2 linked regions of the Arabidopsis thaliana genome follow. The protein of the gene in region 1 interacts with the protein of each later gene in a biochemical or structural test. Each region holds a gene or a part of one and is shown on either strand. Other genes may lie near its edges.

Region 1 (8,651 bases):
CGCAATTCCATATGATTTCGTCGGATCAAATCGAGTATATATTTTCTTAAACTTGGAACCTTGCATTCACTTATTAATCATTCAGCACAAAAAGAATAAATTGTTTACATATTTTCACAAGAGATAAAATAAAATATATATATATATATATTTTTTGGGCAGATTTGTTTAAGACCCAGCCCAAAAAACACAGTATAAATACACGATTAAAATAAATCCTAAATATATTTTTCTCTTTACTGTTCAGTGTGACAGAGATGCCGCCGACTCTCGCAAAAAAAAAGCAAAATGCAGAACTATAAATTTTTTCTGAGGTATGAGACGTTCTTGTATTCTCAATCTGATTACGGACGTAGATCGAATGTCACATAAAATAAACAAAAAACATAAAATTATTAAAAAATAGAGTAAATTAAATAAAAAGTACAAATTATTTTATTATTATTTAAACTAACTAACTAAAATATATGTAAACATTTTCCAACATCTCGTATGCAGTTATATAAAAACAAATAAACAATGGTACCATCATCATATTGTAGACAACAACGGCTATATTGTGTGTTTGGTAATTTTTACATTTTTATGTTTCTAGAATAAAATTTGAATGATGGCAACTTTCTACGTAACTATTCAAATTGTTGAACAAGTAATCTTCCAATCCGTATCGAAACGACTTAGTCGTGGTCTATCTGATGAAGTAACTATGTTTTATATTTTAATGTATATGATTTCATTTCCGTATTTCCAACTTCCAAGTATTAAAATAAGATCTTCTCGAACTATCTTTAGTCTCAGCTCTGAAAGTAAAGTACCTCGTGCTTCAATGTTCAAATGATATTACTTTTTTTGACGCTCAAATGATTAACTGTGGAAACTGTTATCTGAAATTTTAATTTGATACATTGTTCTTATCTACTTGATTCATATATTAGTACAAATTTTTGTTTTGGTCCGACAACAATACTACTTGAGAAAAAAAAAACGTTGTATTTCCCCAAAAAAAAAACAATCATTAATTGGTAACAAATTTGTTTGTTATATAGTTCCTCTCTTTTTTTAGTCGTTCATCGTATTCATCGAGAAATAAACACATGAATTCAGAACTAGATAATACATTCCATTACCGCTATAAAATAATGTTGTAGTCTCTATCTTCCAGTTCCATGTATTCTTTGGTCGACGAACAAGACTTTTTTTTTTTTTAAGAACAAGACCAATCTCCAGTTCGTTCTTTGTTTGACTTTTGAAGAGTATAAAATAAATTAAGTAAAACAATCTCCTTTTTCCGTTGGATTGTCGATTTAAATATCTTACAGAAAAAGACAAACAAAATTAAAGAATTACGTAAAATCTATTGCGTGTTTATGAACAATGCACAAAACATCACCGAACACTAAACCGGTAGCCTAAGGGAACCGCTAGTTGAACCAACTGTACCGATATGTTGAACTGACGATGTTCCTTCACCGTCCTTATTATTGACTTCAACTCTCGGCGAAGGAACCGGCGTCGTATTCCTCCAGAGAAACGATGGGTTTCTAAGAAAAGCCCACCGGTCTGCTCGTACCGAGTCACCGCTCGGACTTGTTACTGAATTTCCTCTAACACTACCGGTACCACCTAGCCTAATCGAACCATCATCCCGGTTCCTCCATAGAAACGACGGAGTTTTACGGAACAACCACCGGTCCGATTTAGCCCTCGACCGGTCAACCTGTTTACCACTCCTCGAGCTTCCTCCTCTCGGTAAAACAAAAACACTATTCGACCGGTTCAATTTCCAATTCGCCATTATCTTCTTCCTTAATTCTTCCGGTACTCTAAGCGTAAACCGGTCGGTACTCTCTCCCGGTAAAACCACCGAATGCCCTGTCGTATGCGACCTCGGGAATTTAACACGTGGAAGTTCCACCACCGGTACAGGAACCGCCGATTGCTGCTGCGCCTCAAGATCGGTTTCCACCACCACTTCCGGTTCAGGCGTCTGTTCAGCAAGATTAGTCCGACAAACCGGACAAGTCACGTGACCTTGAAGCCACGCGCCGATACAATGAGGATGAAACACGTGATCACATTTAGGCAACAGACGCAGCGTTTCATCGTCTTCAAACTCATTCAAACAAATCGCACACTCCAACGCTCCTTTACCAATCTTCTGTGTCTTCACTTCTGAGTAAACAAAAGTCGGAAACGTCTCGATCGTCTCCGCGTCTAACCCACGCGCAACCGTTGCGTTCGTCACTCTCCTCCTAGCTCCTCCTGCAGGAGTAACGCTACCGTCTACTGCGCCAGTACAGTGACGTATATAGACGGTGAAGAAGCCCATGAAGAAGAGAGCTGCGATGACAACTACAACGACAACAGCCATGGCTGGACTTAGACTGCCGCTGTAAGCATACGGGTCATGTCTCTGGTCCGGGGTTCCGGGTTGACCCGCCGACACGGATAATAGTAGAAACAAGACAAGAACTGGTAAAGAGATGTGTTTTATGGGATCCATTATTAGTTCTGGAGTCCCAAAAAGTTAGTTTTTTTTTTTGGTTTAATATTGTGAGGAATAAGGATCTGAAGTTTATAGGGAGGTTTTGAAAAGTTTGAAAAAGTCGTGGAGAAGAAGCGAGGAAGTTAGGGGATATGTCATAAGCAAATGTGTTACTTATTGAATGCCACGTGGACGGTCAGAAGTTTCCAATTGGAGATGGAAGTGAAAAGTCATACAAATCAAAATAGTTCGATGACTTCGAAGAAGTTGTTGAAATGGTCCTAAACTCTGTATATGTATGTATGAAAAGTATCTTTTATTTCATCTAAAATGGTCATTTTCATATCTCTTTTTTATAATTTACTATTTCACCGGCAAGTTTCATTCATTCGTTTATTACAGAAATGTTAATGTTTTGAGCTAGTTTACAATACATACTAAAATCTTATTCAAGATAAGAGGACCATGAATTTGGAACATGTTAATGATATGTGATCACACGAAGAAAAAATTACTTGAAAAAATTAACAAATTTATGTTTACTAGTCTTAGCCGTCATCATTTATAGACGACTACTTTGATATTCATATTCTTCTAGAAAGTCTTTAGCCATCATAGGTCTATCCTGATCACTAACTCAAATATGCTTCTTTTTTTTTTTAATTACAATTTCTGTTGACTTTGAATTGGCAAATCCAATCCGTTGGGAATAAAAATTGGCAATCTGCACAAAGACAAAATGATCTGCAATTTTTCAATTTTACCTTTTAACCAATAACAAATCTCGTGGAATCACACTATTTATTATATGTGTGGTCACTATAGTCCCAAAAGCAAACCAAATTCATTTGATCTTTGATTTAAATTAGCAAAAGTTATGTCTCCAACATGAACTAATTTTTTTTTCTCTCTATAAGTTACTTTTTTGTTATCACCTATTTTAGTCGATATAATATTTGAAAATGACATGGAAAGTGAAAAACTAGATCCATTAGGGAGTTTACTACTTAAACCAAGTGTCTTTACTTACTAATAATGTTATTTTCTTATGTTTTTAGATCAAAGCATATAGTAGTCTAGTATTTGGTATTTACACTGTTGTTATGTTATCAGGATTCAAACTCCTTTAATGCATATTTAAAAAATTCATTGTGGGAGGTTTAAATTTATGCTTCTCAACCCAAACTAAGGACTTTATAGTTTTTTATATATACTAGAACTCAAAGCAAAAATTGATGATATTATGGTTTTGTTTATTGATCAGCATTATCGTTATTGTGGAAAAAAAAATTGAAAAGTCAAACAAGAGAGCCTGACTTGACTTGGATTTGCGACCAACTGTGATTACATTGACCCACAGGCTACAACAGGTCAACAGCATAATATGAGAGAGTTTGAGAGCTAAAACAGCACGCACTTTCTATTCAAAAACGTAAAACACCACAGCTTTCCTCTGAAATACGTGCCGTTTTCCTCGTATGCAATGTTTTTTTCCTGCAATCACAAAACCTTTTCAGTACTTCAAAAATAAAAAACCAATGATGAAATTATGTTAACGTTGATTTCATTTTTCCAAAATAAGGTTCCTTTTGTTCAACGTTCTTGTTAGAGTTTACGAATCTAGATGAACACATTTAACAAGCCTGGTTTACCATTCGTGTTCTACGATCAAACACATGGTTCAAGGTTCTTGACTTCTTGGTAAGTAGGTATTGGGACACCTGAACCATCCGTCAGTTTCTTGTAAGCATTTTGAAGTCTTCTTGTTACCGGTCCTACTTTTCCTTCACCGATCACACGCCCATCAATTTTCACAACCTAAAACCAATAACCTCGATAAATAAGCGGCACAAAAACCAACCAGAAAGTGTTTCACAAGAAGGAAATCTTCACTCAAAACATTGAGATTTTCATATTCCTTGATTGTAAAATAGAGATTGAGTATGTACCGGGCTGAGTTCTCCCATAGTTCCTGTAGTCCATACCTAGAAAGTTTTGATATGGATTGATAACACTTAGTTAGTGATCATTTGAGATTCTAAGATTAAGGAAAAGATGAGGAAACCTCATCAGCTGTATGGAATTCCGACAAGCTGATTCTACGTTCTTCTAAGATAAAGTTCTCTTTCACCACCAGTTCCATCACCTGGACATGGATTAGAAAATAAGACTGGTCATGTTATAGTCCTGAAATATGTTATCAGAAAGAATATGAATCTTCTTCTCTCTTACAGTAGCTCGAGTAATGCCGGGGAGACAATAATCTGCGTGAGGAGTGAGTACTCGGTCTTTCTTCACCATGAACTGCACCAACAGAGTTCCTCCACCATGTTAGTTTCCAAATGCTACACAGAGATTCAGTACGGTTCTTTGAGAGTAAAAAATGTTCAATCCGAGGATCTTACAATGTTGGTTGCATTGGTTTCAGACACAAACCCATCCTTGTCAAGCATGATTGCATCATCGACGTTGGCATTGTTGCTTTCAATCTGTGTCATTACCAATAAAAACATCTCACAATGACGTCCCTAATAACACATGATCACGGATTCAACTCGATGACAGGCAAAGGATGGTACCTTTGCAAGTATATTATTGAGGAGGTTGTTGTGATGAATCTTGGAATCTAAATTCTGGAAAGAAAGTTTAGAAGAAGATTAAACAACAATGGACAAAAACACTTCTGAGCAAATGTGTTTCTCAAATAAATATAAATGCAAGACAATGAGAGCAATTTTATACGTTGGGTGAATTCCGGCGTGTAGTTGCAGTCACCAGCACAATTCCGCCATCATTGTCATATACCGGAGGCTTCCATTCAGCAAGCACTACACAATATTTTGAAAAACGATAATACTCAAAAAACCATATTCCACAGAGTTTAGTTGTATGCTTGCAAGAGAAAAATCTGAAACTTTACCGATCAAAGTACATCCATAACGGTTAAATGCAGGGCTCATTCCAGATGTGACCTTAAAAGAAACAAAATTGATAGCTGTTTAGGTTTAAAATGATTGAAATGGAAACAGAAAGAAGCATCTTCTTGCATATAATTTACTTTGAAGTTGGTCAAAGTGTGATTAATACCTTTTTGCCTCGAGTTAGAGACAATCTTATATGTGTATTGTCAAACATCCCATTGGTTATGAGAGTTCTGAAGATGGCTTCTTTTATCTGTGCATTTTCAGTTGTGATAGCTTCATTGAAAAGTCCCATATTCCAAACAATGACAATGATTTTTATCTTCATCATATACTTACCTCCTCGCGGGTTGGGACATTGTTGAAAGCCAGAGCCTTTGCGGAATCAGACAACCTATATGCAACACTTCAACATATTACTAAGAATGATTCGAAGAAGTACTTTCTCTTACTTGCTTCTTACCGGTCTAGATGTTCTTCAAGCTTAAATACTTTCCCTTTGTATATACGAAGACCTTCCCATACAGAGTCACCGCCTTGCACGACCGAGTCAAAAACAGAAACCTTAAGCAAGAATAAAGACAAATAACATCAGAACATAAGCATAAACAAGAAATAACAAACAGAGATCCATGTATGGCTCAAGCACCTTCGCCATCTCTCGTGGCACAATCTCATCACCAACCCAAGCAAGAAGTTTAGCATTTTCAGGAACTGGGAGACTGGGAGGAGGTAAGGTGCTGGACAAGAGCGATGACTTGTGCTTCATGTGGCACCTCAGAATGTTGTACAGCGGTAAACATTGCTCCAGCAAATCGTAATGCATTAAAGGGAAAGTCTGAAAGCAAAACAAAACACATTGTAGTTTGAATGATGTCTGAGTTTCAGGATCTTAAATTGCAGCGAAAACAGGTCTTGTACCTGAGGGTACTTCTGGGGCGACGAGAACCCTGTTGATTTATGAAGAGTCTCGTACCACCATGGAGCCCAAAGTCCATCTTCTGGTATAGGACCAGCCTCCCATCTTTAAGAGAACGCAAACAATAAAGATACAGTCATTGCTTTTGCCATTAACTGTCAAATCGAAGAGATCACTAGAGCATAGAGGGTCTACTTAAGCATAGAGGCTTGAAAGGGGATCTCTAAGTCATCACAAAGACTGCGTAGTGTAGCCTGAAAATAGAAGAATGGCACAGAACATAAGAATCTTCTTACATAAAAGAAATGGTTTCCTTGTGAAAATTTCATAATATAGCAATGAAACCTCGGGATCTCGCTGGAGCTCATCTGCATCGATGATTGCTGGTGGTGTTCCCATCTGACAGAGATCACTGTATATCGATACTAACTCTCCCAGTCCCAATTCGTGAAACGATGAAGGGTGTATCTTCTCAAAAGAAGGCTGCAAGAAAAGACAAAGAAACGAAAGCAAAGAGAGGAAACATCTCAAACCAGAAAGGATCAGACCCATAAACGTCAAGACAAAACCAACCCAGAAGAATCTCCACGAAAACATAACACCAGAAGTGAGTTTGAGAAGCTTACCAATATGTTGAGGGGATTGCGTATCAATATAAAGTGCTTCCCTTCACTCATTAGTTCACTTGGCAAACCAAGAAGTCGCTGTTTCGATATATGCTGTGCAGAGAAAGGCCAGAAACACAAATTTATCCCAAACACAGTGTGGTATAGAACAAAATTGAAGTCTCTATATCAGAAAGAGAAGTGAGTATAACCTTACAAAACCTATATTTCTTCTTTCCTGGACCATAAATGATATCCTTCACCACCTTTTCTCCATCACACTCCTATTAGAAAACGCGACGATTATACTATTTCTCCTCTATGCCTAAATTGACTAATGTGAATTAACTTACCATCTTAGAGAGAAGCTCATCTTTGTAAGGCCTATCAACACCCGTAGACTTGAGGAACGCAGCGTATAATGGCTCATCAAGCACTTCAATGTCATCTCTCTGAAGAAATTTAAACCAAAGCATCTTGCAAGTTACAACTCACACCATACATAGTTTCACAATAACTCAAAAATGTAAAAAACTTTTATTCGGAACTGTTTATCATTGAGGACACATAGATGTTTTGAAGCCAAGAAGAATATTTAAAACCAAAAATTTTGATCCTTTTTTCTTTCTTTCCTGGTATCAATACACAGAGAACTATTTCTCTACTGCTCAGAAGGTGGGATTCAATCACTCAAACAAAATTTAGATCATCAATAAATTTTCTATGATAAAACAGTACCTGGGCAAATCTGTTCCATTTCCAGGAAAAATCTCTGAGTAAGGTAAGAAAACAAAAAGAGTACCTGGGCAAAGGAGTACATGAGAGTGGTGCTGAGTGATCTTGGAGCAGACCATGCGTGTATCACCTCCATTAAAGACGATCCCTTTGAAATCAATCTCAACTTCAACAAAACTATTATTGCCTTAGTCCGTGTTTCTCTTTATAAACAAGAACCAGACGATAATCTTGGACTTATGTAAAAAAAAAGATCAAATTTTTATTTTTTTACACTTTTGGGAAAGATTACAAGTTTCCAAAAGAAATTGATTGATGTTTTTTGATTAGTTTAATCTTCACAAGTATCTTATCTTATCTCCTGCCACATCGAAGTTGGTGAGTGATAATGTAATTATTTGCACTCCCAGAGATCCTCCAATTTCTGTCAAACCATAAATCAAATAATTGCAACAACCAGTGATTGCGTTTAGCGGTTGTATATATAACCCTTAATCTAAGATCAACATACACATTTCCGCAAACACATGAAATGCTAATAACCGCGATTTCAACCACCAAACCTTCGACCTGACCAACCAACAACCATCTTGGAATATGTTTCGAAATAACGGTCCAGGAATATTTGATTTCAATTGTAAAGAAACTAAATTGCTTCTGAAAGAATTACATTATCTGGAGGATATGGAGAAGAGCCGAACGGTTGAGCGGTCATACGAATGCATATATGGTAAAAGCTCAAAGCGAGGCGTAAGTTCTGCGGTCACGTCTGTGATGGAAAGGTCCATTTGGTCTGCAAGTGTCAAGCACACATTAAAAGTGTCTACATTGCGGATCACAGATGCGATATAAGCCACCGCGGGACTGTGTTCTTCTTGTGTCGTGTCTCTGTCTTCAGTCTCGAGAGAGCCATTTCCTCTTTTGGGTGGGTTCTTTAAAAGGGCTACTAGCACCCGAAGTAGATGAGGGAGACATGACGGATCATA
Region 2 (9,110 bases), on another chromosome or scaffold:
TTATACCAATTCAAAAATATTGGGTATTAAACTTGCAAATAAAAATTAGTATGAGTTTTTTTTGGGATTTTTAACCACAAAAAAAATCTTTGACCTTTTAAAAAACTCTTATTGAAAAAAAAAAAAGGAGTTATATGATGAAACCAAATGGACCCATATGATTGGGAGATTTGGATAACAGAGAATCCACAAAAGTGTATCCTTCACAAAACCAAAACACACTCTCCATTTTCTTCAGACAACTCTTTCTCCTTTCTTCTCTCTTCTCTGTCTCATCACAAACCAGAAATGGGAGGAGTGTCCTTCCTCTCCACTGTTCCTTCCTTCACCAACACAACCAATCATCAACATCTCACTACACTCTCTTCTTCTTCTCATCGCTCTGTGAGTTTCAACCATTGTTACATTCTTTACTTCTAACCCATTTTACATTTCTTCTGCTAACAATTCTTCTTCTGATCAGGCTGTTATACGATGTTCCAAGATTGAACCTCAAGTTTCCGGTGAAAGTTTAGCTTTCCACCGCCGTGATGTTCTCAAACTCGCCGGCACTGCAGTCGGAATGGTACCTTAACACTTGACTCGATCAAAAATTACATACACATTGGTACAAATGAGATATTGTAATGTATAGTCTGTGGCTACATCTTCTTGAAGTTGTCCTCTCTATGTCACATTTGATGAGTTCTTGGCAGTGATGATCTCTCTTGTTAGGAATTAATAGGCAACGGTTTCATTAACAATGTGGGTGATGCAAAAGCTGCTGACTTGAATCAACGTAGACAACGATCCGAGTTTCAATGTGAGTATCTGAAACAAGAACACTAGTGTGGTACCATTAGGTTGTTATTGGCACTAAAGGTTTCACTTTTATATTATGCAGCAAAGATCAAGATTTTGCTTTCAACCACCATTAAGGCTAAACCGGAGCTTGTACCTTCCTTACTCAAACTAGCTCTCAATGATGCTATGACTTATGATAAGGTCAGGCTTCATATAATGCTCTTGTCCATCTCTCTGGTGACCCTTTAATGATACTAGCTTTTTGTCTAGGCTACTAAATCCGGGGGAGCCAATGGATCCATACGGTTCAGGTAGTTATATGATGTAAGAACATTATAAGAGTAATCTTTAGATGATGTCTAATGCATTCTTTTCTTTTTGTGAAGCTCTGAGCTAAGTAGAGCAGAGAATGAGGGACTTTCTGATGGGTTGAGTTTGATAGAGGAAGTGAAGAAGGAGATTGACTCTATCTCGAAGGGAGGTCCTATTTCATATGCAGATATCATTCAATTAGCAGGTAATGTTATAGTATATACCAAAACTTGTTCATGAAGAGTAGCATTATTGTATTTGTGGATAACTGAAATCTTTCTTGGGTTGGTTTCTGTAGGACAATCAGCGGTCAAGTTTACATATTTAGCATCGGCTATCCGAAAATGTGGTGGAAATGAAGAGAAGGGGAACTTACTTTACACAGCATATGGTTCAGCTGGTCAGGTAAACAATGCTATCGTATTCGCTTTTGAGTCGCGGCGTTTTGTTCAAATCGATACTGAACCGTTGTGAATCTGTTAGTGGGGATTGTTTGATAGAAATTTTGGAAGGAGTGATGCAACAGAGGCTGATCCAGAAGGCAGAGTCCCACAATGGGGGAAAGCAACTGTGCAAGAGATGAAAGATAAGTTCATTGCTGTTGGATTGGGTCCTCGTCAGGTACATGATTTTCGGTTTAAACAGAGAATTATCTACTAGGATCACTCGAAGTAACTAACCTGTATGAGGAATTTGTAGCTAGCTGTAATGTCTGCATTCTTGGGTCCTGATCAAGCTGCAACAGAACAGCTCTTAGCTACTGACCCTCAAGTTGCTCCATGGGTTCAGAAGTATCAAAGAAGCCGTGAAACCGTATCTCAGACTGATTACGAGGTTCGTTTTCACTCGATTTGCCTTAATCATATATTCATCTACCTCAAACTCAAGCTCATGTTTTGGTTTATGAATATGTTTGTAGGTTGATCTCATAACTGCATTCACAAAGCTAAGTTGCTTAGGACAGCAAATCAACTTCGAGGCATATACATATCCCGTCGAACGGATCAATCTGAGCAAACTCAAGCTATAAGCTATGTACACTATATGTATAACATGAGAGGAAACTTCGAAATAAACCAAAGATTTTTCTTGACATTGAAACAAAAAGAGAAGTTGAATCCATTACAAACAAAGACACAGAAGATAGGAGTCAAATCACGATAAAATGGAAACAGATAAACGAAAAATAATAGGAATCGAGTTTTCGTATCCACGGTTGAGAAAAGCAGCAAAAAAGGACAAGAATTAGACTGCCTTAGAGAGCTTGGGGATAAAAGGAAATAAGAAACCAACAGAGAAACACCTCCAAGAGAAAAACATATTAATGGAGAGGTTTTAGATACTGAAATGACAACAAAGTTGCGGTAAGACGACTTAGGATTGTTGCTCGTCAGCGGGTTTTGCTGCTGCTGGTGCTGCTTCTTTGATGTCATCAGCAACATCGTCCTGATTGAAAAAAACATTTGACAAGATCATCATAATCAGAATCAGACCACAAGAAAGAAGGATTGAGGAATGTATCAAAATGTAAACTAAGCAACAACTTGATTTCCAAATCTAGTCTCCCTCAATGGCATATATCTTGCTCATGGTTTCAGAAATCACAAACAGGCTTAAGCAAGGCATAAGGAGGAATGCATCAAAATGTAAACTAAACCACTTGATATTCAATTCGTGTCTTCCTCAATGGCTTAACAAGGCTTATGATTTCATAAATTAAGCAACAAAACAGGATTAAACACATTTGACAATCACTAAAATCAGAATATGACCAAGAGAATGCATCAAAATGTAAACTAAACTGTTTGTTTTCCATATCTAGACTTCCGCAATGGCTTAACAAGGCTCATGGTTTCAGAAATCAAGCAACAAAACAGGCTTAAATACATTTGACAATCACTAAAATCAGAATCAGAGCCAGCAGAATGCATCCAAATGTAAACTAAACTGTTTTATTACAAATCAAGTCTTTCTTAATGGTTTAATTATAGGCTAAAAGTTTCAGAGATCAAGAAACAAAAACGTTATTCGTTCATCAAGCAACAAAAACAAGCTTATAAGGCCAAAATATAATACCTAGCAAGATTACTAACACAGTTGACAATCACCAAAATCAGAATTAGACCAGAAGAATGCATCAAATAAACTTGATATCCAAATCTAACTTTTGTCAATGACTTAATTAGGCTCATTGTTTCACAATTCAAGCAACAAAATCAATCATACAGGAGCCAATATATAATACCTGCATATCAGAAGTCCAGAGAGTGAGGTTATCACGAAGAAGCTGCATAATCAAAGTACTGTCCTTGTATGACTCTTCACCAAGAGTATCCAATTCAGCAATTGCTTCATCAAACGCCTAAATAAATCCATAAACAAAAACTCATCAAACACACACATAAACCAACAATACATAATCATATAAAACATCCCTCAGATGAGATCCAAACCTGCTTAGCGAGATTACAAGCACGATCTGGAGAATTGAGAATCTCATAGTAAAACACAGAGAAGTTCAACGCAAGACCAAGACGAATCGGATGCGTTGGAGCCAATTCAGAATTAGCAATATCCTACACAACAAACCAAAATTTCAAAAACCTAAATCACACAAAAATCAAATCACAGATCGGAGAAAGAGATCAAAAACCTGAGCAGCTTTGTAAGCAGTAAGAGTATGTTCAGCAGCATCTTTCCTCTCTTGACCAGATTTGAACTCAGCCAAGTACCTATGATAATCACCTTTCATCTTCAGATAAAACACCTTCGAATCTCCAGAAGCAGCAGCGGGAACGAGAATCGTATCGAGAAGCTTAAGGATTCCGTCACAGATATCAGAAAGTTCCGTTTCGATTTTGCTTCTGTAGTCACGGATCAACGAAACGTGGTCATCGTTACCGCGAGACTCCTCCTTTTGTTCGATCGATGAAATGATTCTCCACGAAGCACGACGAGCTCCGATGACGTTTTTGTAAGCGACGGAGAGGAGATTACGTTCTTCGACGGTGAGTTCGTCTTTGTCAACAGCTTTCGCGACTTTCTCCATGAATTCAACCATTTCTTCGTAACGCTCTGCTTGTTCGGCGAGTTTCGCCATGTATACGAATTCATCTCTTGCTGAGGAAGCTCCTGGTGTCGCCATTGTTGTTTAGATCGGAGAAGAAGATGATGAACAAAGTGAGGAAGAAGAAGAAGAAATGATTCTCAGATCTGAGAGAGTTTTTTTTTTTTTTTATCGGCTCCGTGGATTTTTGTTTTTGTTTATAATGAATGAGTGGGGAGCGATGATTACGGATTGTGAGAAGAAAGGAGAGCCGTTGGATTGAAAGCTGGCAAAAACACGGATTCGTAACGAAAAAAGGCGCTGGCTTTTCAGATACTTTTTAGGTCAAGTTTGAATTTTCAATGATTGGAAAAGGGTATTTCTGGAAATTACTTATTTAATGGGCTTTTTTCCTGCGAAACGGGTTTATTGAATGGGCTTTAAAGCCTATTTTACGGATTAACTCATTTGCGCGTGGGTGAATTAATTATTGAATGGCCCGAATAGGCCCAATAAATATAACGCTTGTATTTTGGTATACTTACTGATTTCATTTTTAATCGGATATCCGATATGAAATATGAAAAATAGAAAATTTAAAACCCAAAGATGGCAATATTTCATTAAGATTTCTTTAGCTGTTAATCTTTAGTATTTAAATATTTAATTTAATGAACGTAATTTCATAAAATTTACAAACAAATACGTCAATCATCGTAAATCTAGTGAGCCGACATCGTTAATTTACAAATATTATTATAAACATTTAATTATCTCTTTTTAAAAAAAAATTAAGAGGACCAACTGTTATAATAAGATATTATTATAAACATCTAATTATTTTTTTTATTTTTTTTATTTAAGAAGACCAACTGTTCTGTTTTGGATACTCATAATTACTATATTTCTAAGGCTATAAGTCCTCATCACTTTAGTAAAAATAAATTTTGTGGATTGGTTTCATCCCCTCTATTAGGAACATGGACAACATCCATTTGCATGTCAAGAAGGCTTTGCATGTCTATGTAAGTAAGTTTTATATTTATTTGAAGATCTCGGTTTTTTTTTTCTTTTTTGTGAGATCATAATTATAATATTCGTGTATTTACTAAAATTTAATTTCTCTATGAAAAAAACTATTTGCTGAAAATAGTATGCACAAAACGTACACACATATCGTTGTTAAACAAGCAAACATGTAGAGTATCGATTAAACGACATATGTATATACACAATTTTCCTGAAGTTAGGATTTTATCAAGATTTCTTTCAAGTTTGATCTTGCAAGGTAGAGAGAAAGCCTCATAATTTGGAGTCACACTAAAGACAATGATAGGTCTTTGAGTCAGAGATAATGGAGTTTTAGGTTGAATAACTAATGCTCTAACCCCTCATATTGGAGTTTCAGCTAGGAACCAAAACATTCAAAAGGAATCAAACACATGGAGAATACACAAACGGTGTTTAGGATGGATATAATAGAGATTACAACCTTATCGAGATTCGCTTTAGGATGCATAAAATAGTAGGAGGCAAGAAGTCAAGAGACTTTCATGGGCATCGATGTAGAAAAAGTTCTCTGCCACAGAGGAAAAACAATTTTAAGGTCCTAGAATCTACATTTCATTAAGGATATATAGTAGAACCGCGAATGTGGTTAAAATTAACCGTTGGAGTGAAGAATTGGATAGGCTTTTGCTTTTCAAACATGAAATCAACAAAGTCCTTTGTAGTTGGGCATATAAGATAGATTCATCTCAGAACTTCCTGGCTCCATCCCAAACAAGATGTTGTAGGACTTATTCCAACGTGTTCGTTGTTTATCATCTAGAAGCGTAAACATGAGAAAAGAGTAAGCATAGATTATAAACAAAATCACAAAGTTTCTAGATTCCACATAACGCTAGGAACTCATCAATAGAGAAGCAGCAACTAAAAAAAAAGCTCACCTTTTAATTTCCATGTTTCTTTCCAAAAACGATCAGTGAAATTACGTATAGCTTTAATTTTTCCCCAAAGCAAGGATTGAATCTTGCGCTAACAACAAAAATGTTCAAATTTTAATAATTATGGAACAAATAATCAAAATATTCATAATTTAATAGGTCTTGCGCAAAACTATCTATTTTTACCCACAATAATAGCATGTATATGGGTGATACTCATATGGTATCATAAGGAATTTTTAAGTATTATTTATAATGTTTGAGATTTTTTATGATACTCCTACTAAATATGTTTGCACTAGATATTAACCCGCGGTATACCGCGGGTAAGTTTATATTTTAGTTAAACTAAAAATCTTTTTTTGTAAAGATGATTAATAAATTTATGATATTATTTTATTTGATTTTAAATATATAATACACTGCGAGTTGTATATGTTTTGTTGATATTTTTTATATTCTTTAATGTTGATATTCTATGTTTTGTTGTATATGTTGTGTTGTTCTTTTTAGTCGCATATGGGGGGTGGTGGCGACGGAGAGAGCAAAAATGTTTCTTTGGTTAGTCGGGAATCAAGCTCTAATGACGGATGCTGAGCGATTTAGAAGGCATCTGTGTATAACAGATGTTTGCCAAGTCTGTAAGGGGGGAAGTGAGACGATTATTCACATCCTTCGGGATTGTCCCGCAATGGCAGGACTTTGGGATCGTATCATTCCCCAGCGGCGGAGGAGATCCTTCTTTGCACAGTCGTTGATCGAATGGTAGCATGATAACCTAGGTGATGACCGGGAAATATATGAGAGTGTATGGTCTACGGTTTTCACGATGGCTATTTGGTGGGCTTGGAAGTGGCGCTGTGATAACGTGTTTGACAAACGTGGTAAGTGTCGGGATAGAACGAGGTTTATTAAGGATGCGGCTAAGGAAGTAACTACCGCTACTAGTAAACATAAAGGAGGTTCGGGGATAGGCGGTAGGGTGGAAGTAATGGTTGGTTGGGGTGTGCCTAACGATGGGTGGCTGAAGCTCAATACTGGTGGGGCATCACGGGGTAATCCGGGTCTGGCTACAGCGGGAGGAGTGCTAAGAAACAGTGCGGGAGAGTGGTGTGGGGGTTTCGCTCTTAACATTGGTCGTTGTACGGCTCCGGTGGCGGAGTTATGGGGTGTCTATTACGGCATGTACTTCGCTTGGGAGAAGAAGGTGACGAGAGTGGAGTTGGAAGTAGACTCGACATTGGTGGTGGGCTTTCTCAAGACTGGGGTTAGCGAGCGACACCCTTTGTCTTTCTTGGTACGGTTGTGCCACGGCTTTTTTTCGAAGGACTGGATAGTCCGTATTTCTCATGTGTATAGAGAGGCTAACCGCCTTACTGACGGGTTAGCTAACTATGCGTTCTCTTTGCTATTGGGCTTTATGCTTTTGTTTTTGTTCCTCTTGTTGTTGATTCGCTGTTTAGTGATGACGTTATTGAGTCTGCGCGCCCTCGTCGAGTATACTCGTTTTTGTAGTTTGTTTTAATTTTCAATAAAATGGGAGACTAGTCTCCCCTCTTCTACCAAAAAAATGTAGATGGTCTATGGTACATTGAAAGCCGAAGCAGTGCCGAATTAGTATTTACGAGTGCCATACTCAAAGCTTAAAAACATGCTTTTTCATATAACACACGTTCTATTTCCCGGCGTCTCCATCTCCGTCTCTATCTAATTTCGTCATGCGTCGATCTCGTAAGCTACTTCAGATTCCGGCCATCACGCAGCTCCAGGTTAGTTTTGATTTATGTGAAACTACAAATCGGTGCGTTGTGCCTTGAATGGAATTGACTTCTGGGTTTAGATTGAGAATTTCTAGGGTTTAGGAAACGTTATTTAGGTCACTCATACGAATCTGTTGTTTGTAGAAGATACGAGGAAACAAATCCAGTCACATGAAACAGAATTTTAAACTCTGCTCTATTTTCAAATTGATCGACTCGATCTGAAATTGACAGATTACCATATTTGCAACAATGTTTTGTGACTAATTTCAGAAGACTATGTTATTAGAGAGTAGAAAATGGATTCCTCAATCTTTGTTCTGCAACACAGTTTCTCATACTGCAAACAAATGGCATGATAACATGGTAGTAGGTTTTAATTTAACTCTTGCTTTTTCCTTGCAGTTGTGTGATTTGTGGTTAATACAAAGATGACAACAATCGAAAACTCAAAAGTCTTCTCCTTCCAGTTCTGCTACTACCGCGTACTCTTAAGCAGTCTTCGGCATCGTTTAAAAGGTGGGGAAGGAGACATCCGTTTGTACAATATGGACTTCCGATGATATCTCTCACAGTATTTGGAGCCCTCGGACTTGGCCAACTCCTTCAAGGCAGGTCAGTTCTTTCTTGATTGTAAACTAAGCTCTGAATCTATAAATGCCTGGGGATATGTCAATGATTTTGTTTAGAATTCACCACATATGGTTTATTTGGTTAGTTCAGTAAGGATATTGCAAAGGTAAAAGATGACTAAGAATGGGAGATTATAGAAACAAGAAAGGCGCTTTCAAGAACAGGACCTGTTGATGCTTATAAACCTAAAAACACATCCATCGAAGATGAGCTCAAGGTAACAAAGGATATACCCTCAATTAGACTGCATAAAAGCTTTGATGAAACATTATAATCTTGCCTGGGTTTTGTTTACCGTAGGCTATGCAAGAGAAGGTGGAATAAACACGTACGAGTACAAGAAAATTCCCAAGCTAAACGAAAGCAAGTCGAGTTAGGAAGAGTCTTTGTAAAAGAAGAGTCTTTTCTTAGATGTGTGGAAGAGCAAAGAGGGCCACTTTCCAATTGTTGATAATACATGTTGATTTACGACGTCCATATAGATCTGAATGAATTTTTATAACCAGTTAGACTTTACATCTTTTCTACACAACTTTATATAACCAGTATTCTTGAAACCCAATGACTGAATTTTAAGAAGAAGATTATACTAAAAAAAATGAAATGATAAATTATTTTTTTTATTTGACA

What was found.
Region 2: of the proteins of CNI1 (region 1) and GRF1, one has a biochemical effect on the other in vitro, tested with the Arabidopsis thaliana proteins (one study listed by BioGRID).

What each region holds. Positions count from the first base shown.
Region 1 is NC_003076.8:9,677,971-9,686,621, reverse strand, and holds CNI1 (carbon/nitrogen insensitive 1), read right to left. Parts: upstream 2,635-8,651; 5' UTR 2,504-2,634; coding exon 1,397-2,503; 3' UTR 880-1,396; downstream 1-879. Other genes in the region: AT5G27400 (S-adenosyl-L-methionine-dependent methyltransferases superfamily protein), read right to left, coding at 8,337-8,651; AT5G27410 (D-aminoacid aminotransferase-like PLP-dependent enzymes superfamily protein), read right to left, coding at 4,154-4,303, 4,435-4,470, 4,551-4,631, 4,718-4,789, 4,891-4,974, 5,065-5,118, 5,228-5,313, 5,406-5,457 and 12 more. UniProt on the Arabidopsis thaliana protein: E3 ubiquitin-protein ligase that is required for the plant C/N response during seedling growth transition. May be involved in the early steps of the plant defense signaling pathway.
Region 2 is NC_003075.7:5,770,517-5,779,626, reverse strand, and holds GRF1 (general regulatory factor 1), read right to left. Parts: upstream 4,418-9,110; 5' UTR 4,241-4,417; coding exon 3,749-4,240; intron 3,672-3,748; coding exon 3,549-3,671; intron 3,458-3,548; coding exon 3,341-3,457; exon of another isoform or gene 3,256-3,340; coding exon 3,189-3,255; exon of another isoform or gene 2,983-3,188; intron 2,838-2,982; exon of another isoform or gene 2,628-2,837; coding exon 2,470-2,627; 3' UTR 2,146-2,469; downstream 1-2,145. Other genes in the region: TL29 (ascorbate peroxidase 4), read left to right, coding at 148-384, 464-565, 715-802, 884-984, 1,054-1,094, 1,170-1,300, 1,394-1,500, 1,579-1,716 and 2 more. UniProt on the Arabidopsis thaliana protein: Is associated with a DNA binding complex that binds to the G box, a well-characterized cis-acting DNA regulatory element found in plant genes. Involved in the regulation of nutrient metabolism.